Stegostoma tigrinum: one gene and its partner. The protein of the gene in region 2 purifies or fractionates together with the protein of the main gene of each other region. This does not show direct contact. Links are inferred from orthologs where the notes say so. Each region holds a gene or a part of one and is shown on either strand. Other genes may lie near its edges.

Region 1 (7,374 bases), on a different chromosome or scaffold from region 2:
TTAAGAGTAACTGGCACCTCCAATTAGTAACCAGACCCCTGAAAGAGATTGATCTATGCCCACAGACTTTATTGATGGATCCTTTAATCCCATCTTTCCTGAAATTCATTGGAAACATGCCATTGCAAGGGAGAGCAGGAACCTAATTTGTGCTAAACGGAAAGCAAGGATTATCTTAATTACTTCACAGCTGCACTGTAGGACCAAATCTAAATAGGTTATACTCGACCCATGAACAACTGGAATAACCAAGTCATCTGTAACTCAGCTTCTCACATCCGAAGGTGAAAAGAAACTAACAATATAAAATACATTGAGCACCTTCATTACATAAACAAAGAGCAGCACAAAGAGCATTGGAATAACCTCCTAGAGACAGCAAAAAACTGGGAATAGATTTTATGCAAAGCAGACAATGTATGTAAATGAAAACAGGTAGTTTCTGTCATGGACATGATGCAGGATTCTAAACTCAGCTCAGCATTAAACATCACATCCCAAGATTTATTTGGTCACTTAAGTGAGCAACAGCAAATTGACTTCGAAACAGATAGGTTTTCAAGCAAATGGCAAGAACAATGGCTTTGATTTTCCTGAAATTTGATGGAGGAATATGTCATCCATCCAGGACCAGGAGAAAAAGTAGTAGATAGCAGAAAAGCTCGGGCTTGGGAGTGTACGGATAGAAAGTTAACTGATTTTAAACATGTAGTACCACAGGGATGAGCAACAGTAGGCCAGGCTAGATCCTTGGAGGGCCTCTATCGGCAAATGTGGGGAAAAAATAGCAAGGTGATTGCTGGGGATTGACTGGCTGTGACCCATGAGTGAAGGGGGAAAACACACAATCCCACACAGCTAGAGAATGAACGTGTACTGGAGGACAGCATCAATCGTTAAACACATCAGATGCTAGAAACGGTTCAAGGCGGTAAGAGAGAAAGCAAGCTCGGTCAGTTATTTCAGATGTCTTTTATGACTGAGGCCATGGTTATCTTACTAATGTGTCGTATGCAAAACCCAGAACAGAAAGATTCAAACAGATAAGTTGGGCACAGAGTTACAGGCAATAATACTTTCAAATACTTGTCTTTAAGCTAGTTGCATTTTTGGATTAGAATGCATTAGCACCAATTTTGAAAATGGTAGTGATTACAGGTAAAAAAAAGGAGAATTGATGAGGTTTAAGATGGTTAGAGGACTGGATGGGGTACACAAAGAAATCATTGCCTCTCAGAGGGTTCAGGACAAGAGGGGCAGAGCATTAAAGTTTGAAAGCTTTTTGGGGTGATACCAGGAAGCTCTTTGAAATAGAACAGATAGTGGAAATCTGGAACACATTCCCTCAGAAAGCTGTGAGAAACTGAAAAATTCATCCAAAGCTGATCTTTGCTAGCAAGTGCTTTAGGACAAGGAGTTAAAAAGAAGTGAATGGAGTGGAGGTACAGATCAGCAAAACATAACTGAATAGCAGTATAGGTTTCAAGAGGCTGAATATCCTACTTTTCATATTGTTACGTCTTGGATTGGTGCCAGGGGCCGTTAACTGATAAAGATTGAATGGGAAGTGTCAAATAACAGAAGAAAAATCTCACGGAAGAGATGAGTAAATAATTGCAAGGTGGCAAGATCATATTTGGGAGATTGTAGCAAGATTGTTTAATCTAATACAACAAAACACTGCATAAATGTTTTAGGAAATAATCTGTGATAAACGCTGAATTATTTTTAAACATATTTGGAAAAGCATAAGTGACTTACTGGTCTTCAGTTCCAAAGAATTTCACAAAGAAGCATTTTTTCCCCCGTGGTTTCTTGAGATCTTTGGGTGGATGAACAATCTTACAACAAAAAAAATTTTTAAAATGTTAAATTGGTCATAAATAAGAATCATACTTCATCTCGGGAGGAAAAAAAAAGAGCTAATCATAACTTTTCAGATCCAGAATGGCAGTCACTACAACATATAATCGAATAATCAGATCAGTAAATGGCTGATTTCCATTGAAGTGACACCCACAGTATTGTTAGGAAGGGAGTTCCAGGAACAGCAAAATAATTCCAAATCAGGATGGTTCTTGGCTTAGAAAGGAACTTGCAATGAGTGGAGTCATCCATTACGTTTGTCTTTGGAAGGTGTGGTCACAGAAGCCTTGGCAAATTGCTGTTATGCATAGTATAGGTGCTACATACCATGCCCACTCTGCATTTCCCATGTGTTGTTGATCCAGGCAAGTGAAGTACATCATTGACTGCAAAAGGGCTGTTTCATATTAAGCAACAAGCCATTTTAGAACGATTTATCTGAAACTGCTGATACGTTCAAATGTGATCTTTAAAAAAAATTCCAGAAATTGCTATCCGACAAAAACACTTCCATGGGATAACGACACTAATAAACGTAGCCACTTTTTATTCCAGTCCCAAACAGGTCAGAAGTCAGGGTAAGGTAGCCGTAGAGAAAAAAAAAATTAAATGTTGCATTGAGACAAGTGTTTCAAATGTTGTAGTGTTTAAAAGCACTTACTTTCAAGATTTCTTACACAGAAGGAACTAATCTTTGTATTTAACTTTTGATTTGTTCCAATGAGGTGATCCTTCGCCTTCCAGTTATTTTTAAACATCAGTTTCCATGTAAGTAATTATTTATTTGACTTTTGTGTCAATAGATAGGGCAAAATAGCAGGATGACCATAATGTTCCTGAACTAGTAATCCGGAAATTCAAACGGATGCTCTGGAGAGGAGAAATGCAAACCCACCAAGGAAGCTGATGGAATTTAAATTCAAAAAATAAATCTGGGATTGAAAGATAGTATCGCTAGTTATTTAGGAGCCTCTAACAAATTTTATTTTGAAGCTGTCTTGCCAGTTCATACCTCGTACTAGTTGATGCTAATTGACAAAAAGAATTAGAATAATTCCCTCCAAATTTTTGATCAAGGCCGAAAGCCAAATGATGTTCCAGAATTTCTTGCAATACTGATTCCAGTTTTAGCATGCAACAACTTTACATTTCACTTCAAATGCTGACTGTAATGGCCTGAATGTCTTCCAATAATCCTACTTCAAACAATGTGGCAGTGCATCAAAACTGCTCAGTCATCAGTTCATCATACTTTTGCCATTAATTCTGGGATCAGCTGATCGTCTCATTACTACTATTAACCTTCAAAGCGCACAAATCTAACCTAAATGTTAGCATAATCACTGCAATAGCATTGACGGAATACAAGGAACAAAAAAGGTGTTCTATACGACGTAGGGAAAATAATGTAAAACCCTGTTCACCAAAGAAGGCGGAGCACTAGCTACGAAACCACAGGGTGTAACTCCTCGTAGGAGTACCTTCAAAATGTGGAAGCAGATCTACAACTCGAGGATTAGCTCTTTAAACTAAAGCCGTTTGTTTTCAGAAACTGAGTCCTTTCGATAGTAACTTTAACAGGGAACACCCATCGCGGTGGAAACAATCCGGTTTCAGCAGTCAATCGCTCTGAACATTGAACAGAACGGGCTCAAAGTGAAGGAGCACCGCCACTCGCCCAATAAAACAAGCTCGATTTCCTCATAGGGAGAGCGAAGGAGAAAAGGCTGGCGGGGTCGGTCTTGGGATCCTCTGTCCAGATCCCTCCACGACATGAAAACTGGATAGTGCTTTGCTCTGTCCCACCCCAGTGATCCTCATCCACAAAACTCCCCACTCGCCTTCCACAAATAACACAGGCAAAGAGGGACAAGGAAGGAGGTGGGAAGAAAGAAACGTTTAAACGTTGTGTTTCGCACTCACCTTTCCTGGCCAGGGTGGATATCGACCCAGTTTGCCCCTGAGAGAAGGGAAAGAAAGAGCATAAGCGATTATTTTTTTTCGTGAGAGGGGTTGGTGTGTGTGTGTCGGGAGGTAGGAGCTTTTCTATCAAAGAAAAATAAAAACGACACTCGATGACAGCGGCTGGCCGGAGAACTAAACAAGCTGCCCGCGCGATCGGGTTGAAAGGAGAGCGATCATAAGCCGCTGTTGCCTCTTACCAGACCAGATCCCCCACCCGCAAGCTGACAGCCGCCATCTTCCTCAGAGGAATTCGTCCATCGCCCTCTCAACGGCGACACCCCGCCCCCAGCCCGGGGCCCTCCGTCCGTCGGCCCGCCCGCCTGCCTCCTCCCCGTCACGTGACACGACCGGGTGAAAGGTCAACGCCCCACCCCCTCCCCAAACTCCTCAACGGATTTATTTTACGAATGTTTTTTCTTTCCGTGTCGCGAAGCGAACGAGATGGAATTCCCGAGGAAAAGGATGGAGGGGGAGGGGCTGCGTTTCGGAAACACTCGCTTCCCCTCCCCCGCCACAAACCCCGCCCCCCCAAAAAAACGCGCGCGCCCGCGGAGAGCGCGTGTGTGCGCGCGCGCATGCGCGGCAGCTCGGGAAGATGGCGGCGGCCGAAGTTTTGTCGGGTTTGTTTTTGTTGCTGTTGAAGGGATTGTGATTGCCCGCCACCGCTACCCCTCCCCCGCTTCTTCCTGTCAGCGGTTCTTTTATTTGTTTTAGATTATCCCCTTCCTCTCCGCCAACACGACAGGGTGAAGACAGAGAGGAGAAGTGGGGGGAAAGGTGTTGACAAAAAATATATATAAAGAGCGGCCGAGCGAGTGGGTCCCGCGCGACTCGCAACATGGCCGAACCGCGACGAGTGTCCCTGACTACCCTGCCCGTGTCCGCTCCTCTCCTGAAGAAGAAGAAAGAAGACAAGGAGGAGGCAGCGGAAGAGGAGGAGGAGGAGGAAGAAGAAGAGGAGGAAGGGGGTGAGGAGGCGACGGCCGTGATGGTGCTGAAGGGGGAAATAGCGGCCGTCACCTCGCGCCACACGCTGGCTCTCTTTGAGTCGAGCGAGAAGAGTTGCCCCGAGTTCTTCTACCCCGAGTTGATGCGAGTGCGGAAGGTGAGCGATCCTCGTCTCTCCCAGCGGCAGACTCCAGCGTGAAAAGTAACGCAGACGCTCTCGATCTAGAGTACACCCCCTCCCCTTGACCACCCCCCCCCCCCCATCGCCGAGTCACCGTTAATACAGAAACAATCTATCCCCGTCTTTTTGGAATTAATTTTGGAGAATATTTAATTTGAAAAGAGGTAGAAGCTCTCCCTTACCGCTCCGGGCATTAAAATTAGTTTAGCTTTTCCTAGTTAGTTCAGAGTTTGCACCGACACGTTAATCCTGCTCAATGTCGTATTTTAAACAGGGACAGATGGTATTGCATATATCTGATCTAGTTGACGTGACCTAATCAGCTACTGTTTTCTGTTGTTCAAGACCGCCCCATTAATTTAATGTTGCTGAAAGTTTCAAGCAATAATCGATCTGGAAATTAAACAGTAGGATTTAGTGTTCTGTATTAGTAGCCGCTTTATTCGATTGTTGTCGTATCCTGGTTATTCATGAGTCAGAATGTAAATTTAGCTCTCAAAATGATTTGTTTTCACAAATAAGATTTTTTCAAAACTGAATAATTCAGAACAACATGAACATAAAATAAACTTGATTGCATGTGACAAAAGCAGTTTTCATGTTGAAGTCTGGTAAACTACAACATTGCTTTGTATTTAGGTCTAGCACTTGAGATCAGGCTGTTGAAATTAAAATATTGAATCCATGTTGGCATCTTGAAACTAGTTCTTAGTGTATTGTATAGGCAAGTTAGCAAAAGAGAACAGAAGATATGATACTGAAATAAAATTGGAGTAGAGATCTAGAATCACATTTGATCTGACTTGGAGCCTTTCTCTTGACTCATGTTATCCTGAAAGCTTTGCTAAACCACACACTGATGTTCTCGTGTGACGTATATGTAGCCCGACTCAATCCCATAGGTGGCCTCAATAAAATGAACTGTGTTTGTGGAAGAAAGAAAAGGAGACACCAAGTGTGAGTGGAGCACAGAGCAGACTATAGAATCAACAATTACAATTTCCACTGTAAAGCATTTAACCAGAAATGGGCTTTGCCTGTGAAATGATAGAAAGTGAACAGTTGCTATTAAATATACAAAGGTTCAGAATCGGTTGTCATGTTGGTGGGAAGATGAAATAATGATTTCATATCCTCTTTGTTCTTGCATTGCATTCCACCCTAACCAAATCTGAGATATTGAGCAAATAAGATGAATTCAGGGTTTCCACAATTGTGAAGACTTTTCTGCTTTGTTGAATTGTTGCTTTGATCTCACTTTTAAAGAGGAAGGTCCAGGAAAGCAAACCAGCTGCATTGATATAATCAAACTTCTTTTTCCAAAGTTGCTTGATTGTAAATTTCACAGGGATTAAAATAGAGGCACTTGGGTTTTATTTTTGAGTGATTTAACCAAAACATAATATCAAATATTTTATTAAGAAAGATTAAGAATCAGGTAGTCGGAACCAAGATTGGGGCAAGTTTTCATTCCTTCTGTTAAGATTTCCTTCTACAATCTGACTTAGTGCTTTTGCTGATTTGCCATGTTGCAAACCCACATGAATGTTTGGCTGACATGAGCCATACATTTTAAAGTTTTTCAGAGGCAGTTTTGAAGTGTATGTGATATGTGAATTTTAAGCACAATCTTACTCCTTTAATGTCCCCAACCAATGAATTGCCTATATTTACTAACAGCTGTTTCTGAATGCACATGTTTTGGATGCATAGTTCCTCTAAAATCTTTTTCAGGCTAAATGTTGCAAAGAACATTAGCCCTTTCCACTACTATGGTTAACTTCTCTCAATACTTCAATGTTTATGTCCCATTGTTGCAAACAATGCATTTTCAAAGGTACATCACAGCCACACTGACTTAGTTTATCTGCTGTGTGCCAAATGTAACAAACTGTTGATTCAAGCTCTTATCTGCTTTTTGCATAGGGAAGTAGTTCCAAGTTGGGTCTTTAATTCACAAGTAACAGAAATAGATAACTCAGAACCAGTCCATTGTCAAATGTTGATACTCCATACAAGGGTATAGTTCTACTCTCATTTGCTGAAACTATTCTCAAGTCTTTTCCGCTCCGTTCCTTCATTTGCCTATCCAGTTAAATGCTGCCAAGAATTTCTGTCAACCATAAACGATGGGACTGAATTTCAGATTTGTTCAATTGTGAATTTCTCCAAACCCCTTGCTCCAGATTCCGGCTATCACCTTTACCCCTCATTCTTGATCCCAACTTTGAACTATCCCTGTCTCTTCCTTTAATATTTTTACACATTATGGCATCGGAACAAACTATTTTAGAGCAAAAGGTATCACTTCACCTTTGTTCATATTGTCTGTTACTTATGAAGGGCACATTCAGTGAATTGCTAATACAAACTCAAGGTTCGTCTTGGAGGCAAAGCATGAATTTTGGTGGTCT
Region 2 (7,352 bases):
TCAATTGATGACATAATATGGCAGCTCTGTATGTTATCGACAATTGTTGAGCAGCTTCCTTGTTGAAAAGGTAGCATCTGGGAGATTTCCCGTTGGCAGTCTCTGTACTCATACATAAATCATTACTTTTCATGCTGGGTCCTGAAAAACAGGAAATGCAGCACTCAAATTTACCCACTCTTGTCCACCAATGACTTGATTCCAGCCTTATGACGTCAAGTGTTGAAGCCACCCAGCCCTGAAACAGTCCTATCATCCTCTTTCAGGGACGCAGGGCATTAATCTCAAGGAAGGAGACCTGCTGCGGATATGGGTATGGCCTGGCGCGAGACTTACACCATCTCCCCTGGATTTTCAAGGGCCAGCGAGAGCTCACTGGACGCCGTCGGAACCACGTTGCTTTCCAAGGCATGGGTCCCTCTCTTGGGGCGAACCCATTCAAGGGCACCCTGCCCTTCAGCCTGTTTGATTTATGCAAAGTTAAGGAAATGTTCAACATGGAGTCGCAACTTCTAAAATGCACTGGTAGCAGTGAAGTGTTTCTTTATCAAATATAGGTCAGCAACAGTACGGAGGAGGAACAAAATCATAGAATGCTGAACATATCAACAGAGAATTGCTAAACCAGCTCCAGTTTAAAATACCTCTAGTTCCAGGATTGCATAGAATCACAGAAATATTACAGTACAAAGAGGCCACCCTATCTTGTCTCCACTGGCTGTCTGGACAAAAATTGACTTCATGCATTTCCCATTTTCTCCTGATAATCCTGTACGTTTCCTCCTACCCTGATAAATTTAATTCTCATTTGAATGAATTTGAACCTGTCTCCACTACATTCTCAGGCATTGCAATCCAGATCTTAAGCAATCATTGAGGCTCTTCATACCTTCAACTGTTCACGTAAATCTCTTCTCACTTGAATACTTTCAAAGCTTTCCTAAAGTGTGGTGCCTAGAACTGAGCACGATGCTCCAGCCAAGGCTGAACTAGTGTTTTATATGAGTGTGATATAACTACCATGCTCTTGTATTCGATATCTCTAATAATAAAGGTCAGGATACTGTATGCTTATTATTAATGCTGTTTCAACCTCTCCTGTCACTTGTAGAGGCTTATGTACATATAATTCAGTTTCTCTGATCCTGTACCCTTTTTTAGAGTTGAGTTCTCTGTGTCCATGTTCCTCCCACCAAAATGTATCACTTTATAATTCTCCGCAATAGAATTCATCTACGACTTGTCACTGTCAACTTGTCTGACTTTTCAAAGTGCTGTACTATCCTCCTCATAGTTTACACTGCTTGAAATCATGTACAAATTTTGACATTTTGTCCTACACTCCAAGGTCTAGATTATTACTATATATGTACCAGGAAAAACAATGGCCCCAACACTGACCCTTGGGGAATTCCATGACAAAATTTCCTGCAGTCTGAAGAAATGTCCATTAACTACTACTCATTGTTTTGTCTCATACAACAGTTCCATATCCACATTGCTACTGTTCCTTTTATTCCATGAGCTTAGACTTTCCTCAAAAGTCTATTGTGTGGCATTCTGGAAGTCCACGAACGCTATGTCACATCATTGCTCTGATCAACTTCCTCCAATACCTCTTCAAAAAGTTTCAAAAATTTACTCAAGGTGAAAAATGTATTTTAAAATTCCCTAAGTAAGTGCCTGTGAATATTAATTGTATCCTGTATTGATTTTCCTGATAGATTCCCCAACGCAGAAATAAAGCTGACTGGCCTGCACTTACTGGCTCATCTTCATATTTTTTCTGGATCGAGTCTGCAATATTCGCAATTGTCCAGTCCTCTGGAACCACCCTTGAGTCAAGGGAAGTCAGAAAAATTATGGCCAGTGCCTCTGCAAGTTCCATTCTCACTTACTGTTCTTAGATGCATCTCATCTAGTCCTGGTGTCTGATCAACTTTTAAGTACAGACAGCCTACCCAATACTTTGTTCTCATCAAGTTCAACTTTTTCCATTCTTTCAAGAATTTTCCATTCTTTCACTATGGCCTGGGCAACAATTTCCTCCTTGGTAAAGACAGATGCACAGTCTTTATTTAATATCACAGCTAGATCCTTACGTCCATGTGTGTATACCGTTTTCAGTTCCTAACTGGCCCATTCCTTTTATTATCCTTTATTTGTTAGCCTACAGATGGCTTTGGTATACCTCTTTATATTAGCTGTCAGTCTCTTTGTTTCACTTGCTTTTTTTAAACCTCCTCTCTTAACAATTTATTCTCAGTCTGGTTCTCAGTTGTATTTTCCACCTGACATTGGTCATATCCGCAATGTTGTTTATCTTCATTTCTATCTCCTTAGTCTTATTTCATAGGAACGTTGGATTTGTTTGCCCTTCCTTTTCCTTTCAGGCACCTACTTGTGTGTGAACTATCTATTCTCTGAAGGCTACCTATTGTTCACCTTTGTTTTTTCTGGCAACATTTTACTGCAGTTTATTCAACTCAGTTTTTTTTACCCAACTGAAAGTGTAGAAACAAGTATGTTAGACCAGGGAAACCCAGTGGATGTTATCTATCTAGACTTACAAAAGGCCTTTGATACGGTGCCTCACGGGAGGCTGCTGAGCAAGGCGAGGGCCCATGGTGTTTGAGGTGAGCTACTGGCTTGGATTGAGGATTGGCTGTCTGACAGAAGGCAGAGAGTTGGGATAAAAGGCTCTTTTTTGGAATGGCAACCGGTGACAAGTGTCCGGCAGGGTTCAGTGTTGGGGCCACAGCTGTTCACCTTATATATTAATGATCTGGATGAAGGGACTGGGGGCATTCTGGCGAAGTTTGCCGATGATACGAAGATAGGTGGACAGGCAGGTAGTACTGAGGAGGTGAGGAGGCTGCAGGAAGATTTAGACAGTTTAGGAGAGTGGTCCAGGAAATGGCTGATAAAATTCAACGTGAGCAAATGCGAGGTTTTGCACTTTGGAAAAAAGAATACAGGCATGGACTAATTTCTAAATGGTGAGAAAATTCGTAAAGCAGAAGTACAAAGTGATCTGGGAGTGTTGGTCCAGGATTCTCTAAAGGTTAACTTGCAGGTAGAGTCTGTGATTAAGAAAGCGTATGAAATGTTGTCATCTATCTCAAGAGGGTTGGAATATAAAAGCAGTGATGTGCTTCTGAGACTTTATAAAGCTCTCATTAGGCCCCATTTAGAATACTGTGTCCAATTTTGGGCCCCACACCTCAGGAAGGACATACTGGTGCTGGAGCATGTCCGGCGGAGATTCACTCAGATGATCCCGGGAATGGTAGGTTTAACATACAATGAACAGCTGAGGATCCTGGGATTGTATTCATTAGAGTTTAGAAGGTTGAGGAGAGATCTAATAGAAACGTACAAGATAATGTATGGCTTAGAAAGGGTGGACGCTGGGAAGTTGTTTCCGTTAGGCGGGGAGACTAGGACCCGTGGGCACAGCCTTAGAATTAGAGGGGGTGAATTTAAAATGGAAACGAGGATACATTTCTTCAGCCGGAGAGTGGTGGGCCTGTGGAATTCATTGCCACTGAGCGTAGTGGAAGCTGGGCGTTAAATGTCTTCAAGGCAGAGATTGGTAAATTTTTGACCTCACAAGGAATCAAAGGCTACGGGGAAAGTGCAGGGAAGTGGAGTTGAAATGCTCATCAGCCATGATTAAATGGTGGAGTGGAAATGGCGGAGTGGACTCGATAGGCCCAATGGCCTTACTTCCACTCCTATGACTTATGGTCTTATGCGTTCTCCCACGTAATTATTCTTACTCTAGATTGCCCTTTGTCCAGGTCCATAGTCAGCTTAAATATTTTTACTTATTGTGATAAACATTATAATAAATATCTTAAATATAACGATGATCACTGACCCCTTAGACATCTTTGACCTACACCACCTCCTCCAAACCTACTGTGCGCCATCTTTAAAATCCAGACGTATGATTCCCCGCTTGACAGTCAATCAACAGCCCGCCCCCTGCGCATCAGGCCGCTCCCCCTTCATGTCTGGCCCGCCCACGTGCAACTGGCCCCACCGCCTGCACGTCCAGCTTCGCCACAAGCGCAGCTGTCCCCGCCCTAAATGACCAAGCTCCCCGCCCCCCGCCACCCCGCCTCCCCGGGCCCCTGCTCACCTGTCACCGACCCGAGCAAATACCGCCCCGCCCACGGAAATCAAGCCGCGACCCCGGACCGTCCAGATACACCCTCAAGCCTCCAGCCCGGCCGGGCTTCCAGAGCCGCCCACCTCAAGCACCGCCCCCTTTGCGTCTTGGCCCCACCCCATGGGTGTTTTGACCCCGCCTACTTGCTCCCCAAACTCCGCCTGTGAGCTCTCCGGACGAAGCCTGTAGATTCCACCCACTGGATTCCTAGATCCCGTCCTTGTGCTCCAGTCACGGCCCAGTGGATCTGTAGGCGCCCCACTTGGGATCCGTGGATCCCGCCTACTGGATCTCCCGATCCCGCCAATTCGGTCATATCGCGGCCGTTAGTTGCTCAGCGGAGAGATCTATTTGGGAGAGCCAAATGGTGTTCCCAGCCAATAGGAAGCCGGTTTATTGTGCTGTAGGCTCGGTCCCATGGTAACGGCGAGGGACAGGGCTGGATGTTGAGAGCTGGCGGCATCCCCTGGCCTTAGGCTTCAGTCTTTGGACCGCCGGCCAGCTCTCCGAGAGTGAGTGAAGCCAGGAGCTGTCTGTGGCTCGCGGAGCAGGATGGTGAGTGAGCGGTACCTGATCTTCAGGAATGGGGGCGGGGGGATGACTCCGTTGGGCTGCAGTGCACTGCACACAGGCGGGAGCTCGCATTTTGCGGAGGCCCAGCTCCTAGTAAGCAGCTCCAGGGCAGGGGTAGGCTGCCCTGCCCTGACCTGTGAGGGTACAGAAACCAAGAGAGCTCGCAGGGTGCTGTCCCCATCAACACAGCTACTGCTGTCGGCCCTGGAAGCTCTTAGCTTTGCGAATGCATCCTTCAGTCAAAGCACCGGGAATGAGCTGGATAAATGAATGTGGAAACACGCAAATGATCCATCCCTTGGTTTGTTTTGTCCTGGATGGTGTTACTTTTTATTGGGGGGTTGTTCCGTGGTGCTGCTGCTGCGCCGTTCCAACAAGTGAGGAAATAAAAGCAGGAAATGCTGGAACTTATGAACCAGTACTGGTGGAGAGAGACGCTGTAAACATTGCAGATGGAGGGTTTGTTTTTTTTCATGAACTCATGTTGATGTGGGAGAGGCTTTGAGGGGTCATTTAGTGGATCGGAGTCAGTATGCTGTTTTATGGCTAATAGTATCGATATAACTGGCCCAGTTGAGTTTATGCTCAGTGGTGATGTCCAAGATGTTGATGGTGCTGCTGAAGGTCAGGCGAAGGTTATTTTCCCTTGTGAAGGTTGCCATAATTTGGCACTGATGTTGTGTGAATGTTATCTGCTAAATTTCAGTCCAATTGAGAATGTTATTCAAGTCGTTTTGTAGACAAACCTGCACCTAATATGAATGAACTGAACGTTGTAATTGCCGGTGAAATGTCTGGTAGGAAGATTTCCTTCTGTGCTGTAAGTGCCAAGAAATGATTGAATACTTAAATAACTTGTGATGTAGAAATCTTTCTCTTCCTTCTGCAATTATGACATGCTTCTTGGTGTACACAGATACTGAATGGAATGTTAACCTGATTGTTGTATGGTTCACAGTTTCACTTGTTTTTGGGCTAGCCATAAAGATACCACAAAAAAGTTGTCTATCTGGCATTTGAGCGTATAAGGTTTGTTGAATTACCTAGCAACTGCATTATGGGCACTTTCTTCATCATAACTTTACTGAAGCATTAACAGAGATAATGAAGATGATGATTTTTATGGTTGCACCCAGGTAGGTTTTACTCTTTAAAAAGTGCAAAAGAGTTGCCTTAAAAGTTCCTCATAAAATCTGGTAGGTCCTGATGTTATTGACAGTGTAATTTGCTTGTCATCTGGAAGGATTGACTTCCCTCCATGTTACTGCTGTCACCAAGAAAACATTCAGACAGGGCTGAGTGTGATATGCTCATACTGTGTCTACCTGAACTTGCAAAACTCTTGATGCTTTACGTGAAGAGAATGGGAGCAGTATTATGCTCTGGTAAAGTAGGGATAATGTAAGGTCCATTCCTGGTAACAAATGCCACAGTACTTCTATCTGGGTTGAGAACTTAACACCAGAATTGCATTAGAGAACATTTGGTTGTTATAGCCTTTTCAATAGTCTTTTTGTGGTAGCTCTTGTCTTTTTGATTAGAAAGTGGGCTCATACCTCAGTCCAGTACTTTGGAGTATGTGGAATAAAGATCTCTAATTTATAACAATCAAAGGGGCCTTACTTTAATGTTTAATTCAGAAAGTGCCATATCCGGTGGTGCACCATTTCCCAGATATTGCGCTGTTTGGACACTCGTACACAAGAATGTACTCTTGGAGTCCTTCTGGTCAGTCATTTTTGAATTTCCAATATGTCACCGTCTTTTCTGAGTTCATTTCCAAAACTAACCATTCCATACTGGGTCACTATAATTGATCTGATCCCTGCTTAATTAGTGTGTTTATTTTTGCTTTTGTGAATTTGGTAAAATAACATTTTGAATGTCTTCCTTTCAATGTACTGGATCTCCATTATAATATAGTACTTGCTGTTTCTTTGTTGGTTAGGTGCCAGATATATGCAGCAATCCATTACTCTGAATAGGAGCCTGCAAACCAATTACTACTGTGATATTGTCCTACGCCAGGGAAGAGTTCCCCCAGCCCTCACCCCTGTCACATACAGGAGATATCAGCTAAAACTATGAATTTCCAATGTTGCATCCTTTCCTACTTGGCCTGTTTTGGCCAATGTTATCGTATCCTTTTAGAATTTAGAGTTATTAGGAGCTGAATGGTAAAATCTCTTTGTGGATTGGGCTTCCAAAAATCATGATCCAAATCAACCTACCATCTCTCAGGCCTGCTCAGGTCCTGCTGGTCTCATATACTTTTGTTCAAAGTTTCCACAGTAAATTCTCTCCTCTTGAAGCTTTCACAACTTGATATACCTGCACTGACCCAAAGAAGACTGTCTTTTTTAATCATTAGACTACTGAGGGAAAATGTTGAGCTGTTGCTGGGCATGAATCGGATGCTGTGAATCCCAAATTCAAGATTTGAAAACGTTTTTGCTATAATGTGGCAGACACACAGTTTCTTATTTGTCGCCACCCTATCACCATCAAACTCATCCTAGTCTTGTTTAATGCTGAACCCTATATTCTAGTCACTGTCCCAGGTAATACCTTTGCTATTATATAGCTTCCTGATCTTTTGTAT

Evidence for each region. Proteins that work in one complex are often made in the same cells at the same time.
Region 1: the proteins of cabin1 (region 2) and ubinuclein-1-like purify together in Homo sapiens (affinity purification with western blotting; 6 studies listed by BioGRID, with this or other methods). This does not show direct contact. The link is inferred for Stegostoma tigrinum from reciprocal best matches to the Homo sapiens genes CABIN1 and UBN1.

What each region holds. Positions count from the first base shown.
Region 1 is NC_081376.1:47,043,677-47,051,050, reverse strand, and holds the start of ubinuclein-1-like, read left to right. Parts: upstream 1-4,359; 5' UTR 4,360-4,669; coding exon 4,670-4,936; intron 4,937-7,374. Other genes in the region: glyr1 (cytokine-like nuclear factor N-PAC), read right to left, coding at 1,762-1,841, 3,790-3,826, 4,029-4,066. UniProt on the Homo sapiens protein: Acts as a novel regulator of senescence. Involved in the formation of senescence-associated heterochromatin foci (SAHF), which represses expression of proliferation-promoting genes. Binds to proliferation-promoting genes.
Region 2 is NC_081379.1:47,094,004-47,101,355, forward strand, and holds the start of cabin1 (calcineurin-binding protein cabin-1), read left to right. Parts: upstream 1-4,323; 5' UTR 4,324-4,729; coding exon 4,730-4,732; intron 4,733-7,352. UniProt on the Homo sapiens protein: May be required for replication-independent chromatin assembly. May serve as a negative regulator of T-cell receptor (TCR) signaling via inhibition of calcineurin. Inhibition of activated calcineurin is dependent on both PKC and calcium signals.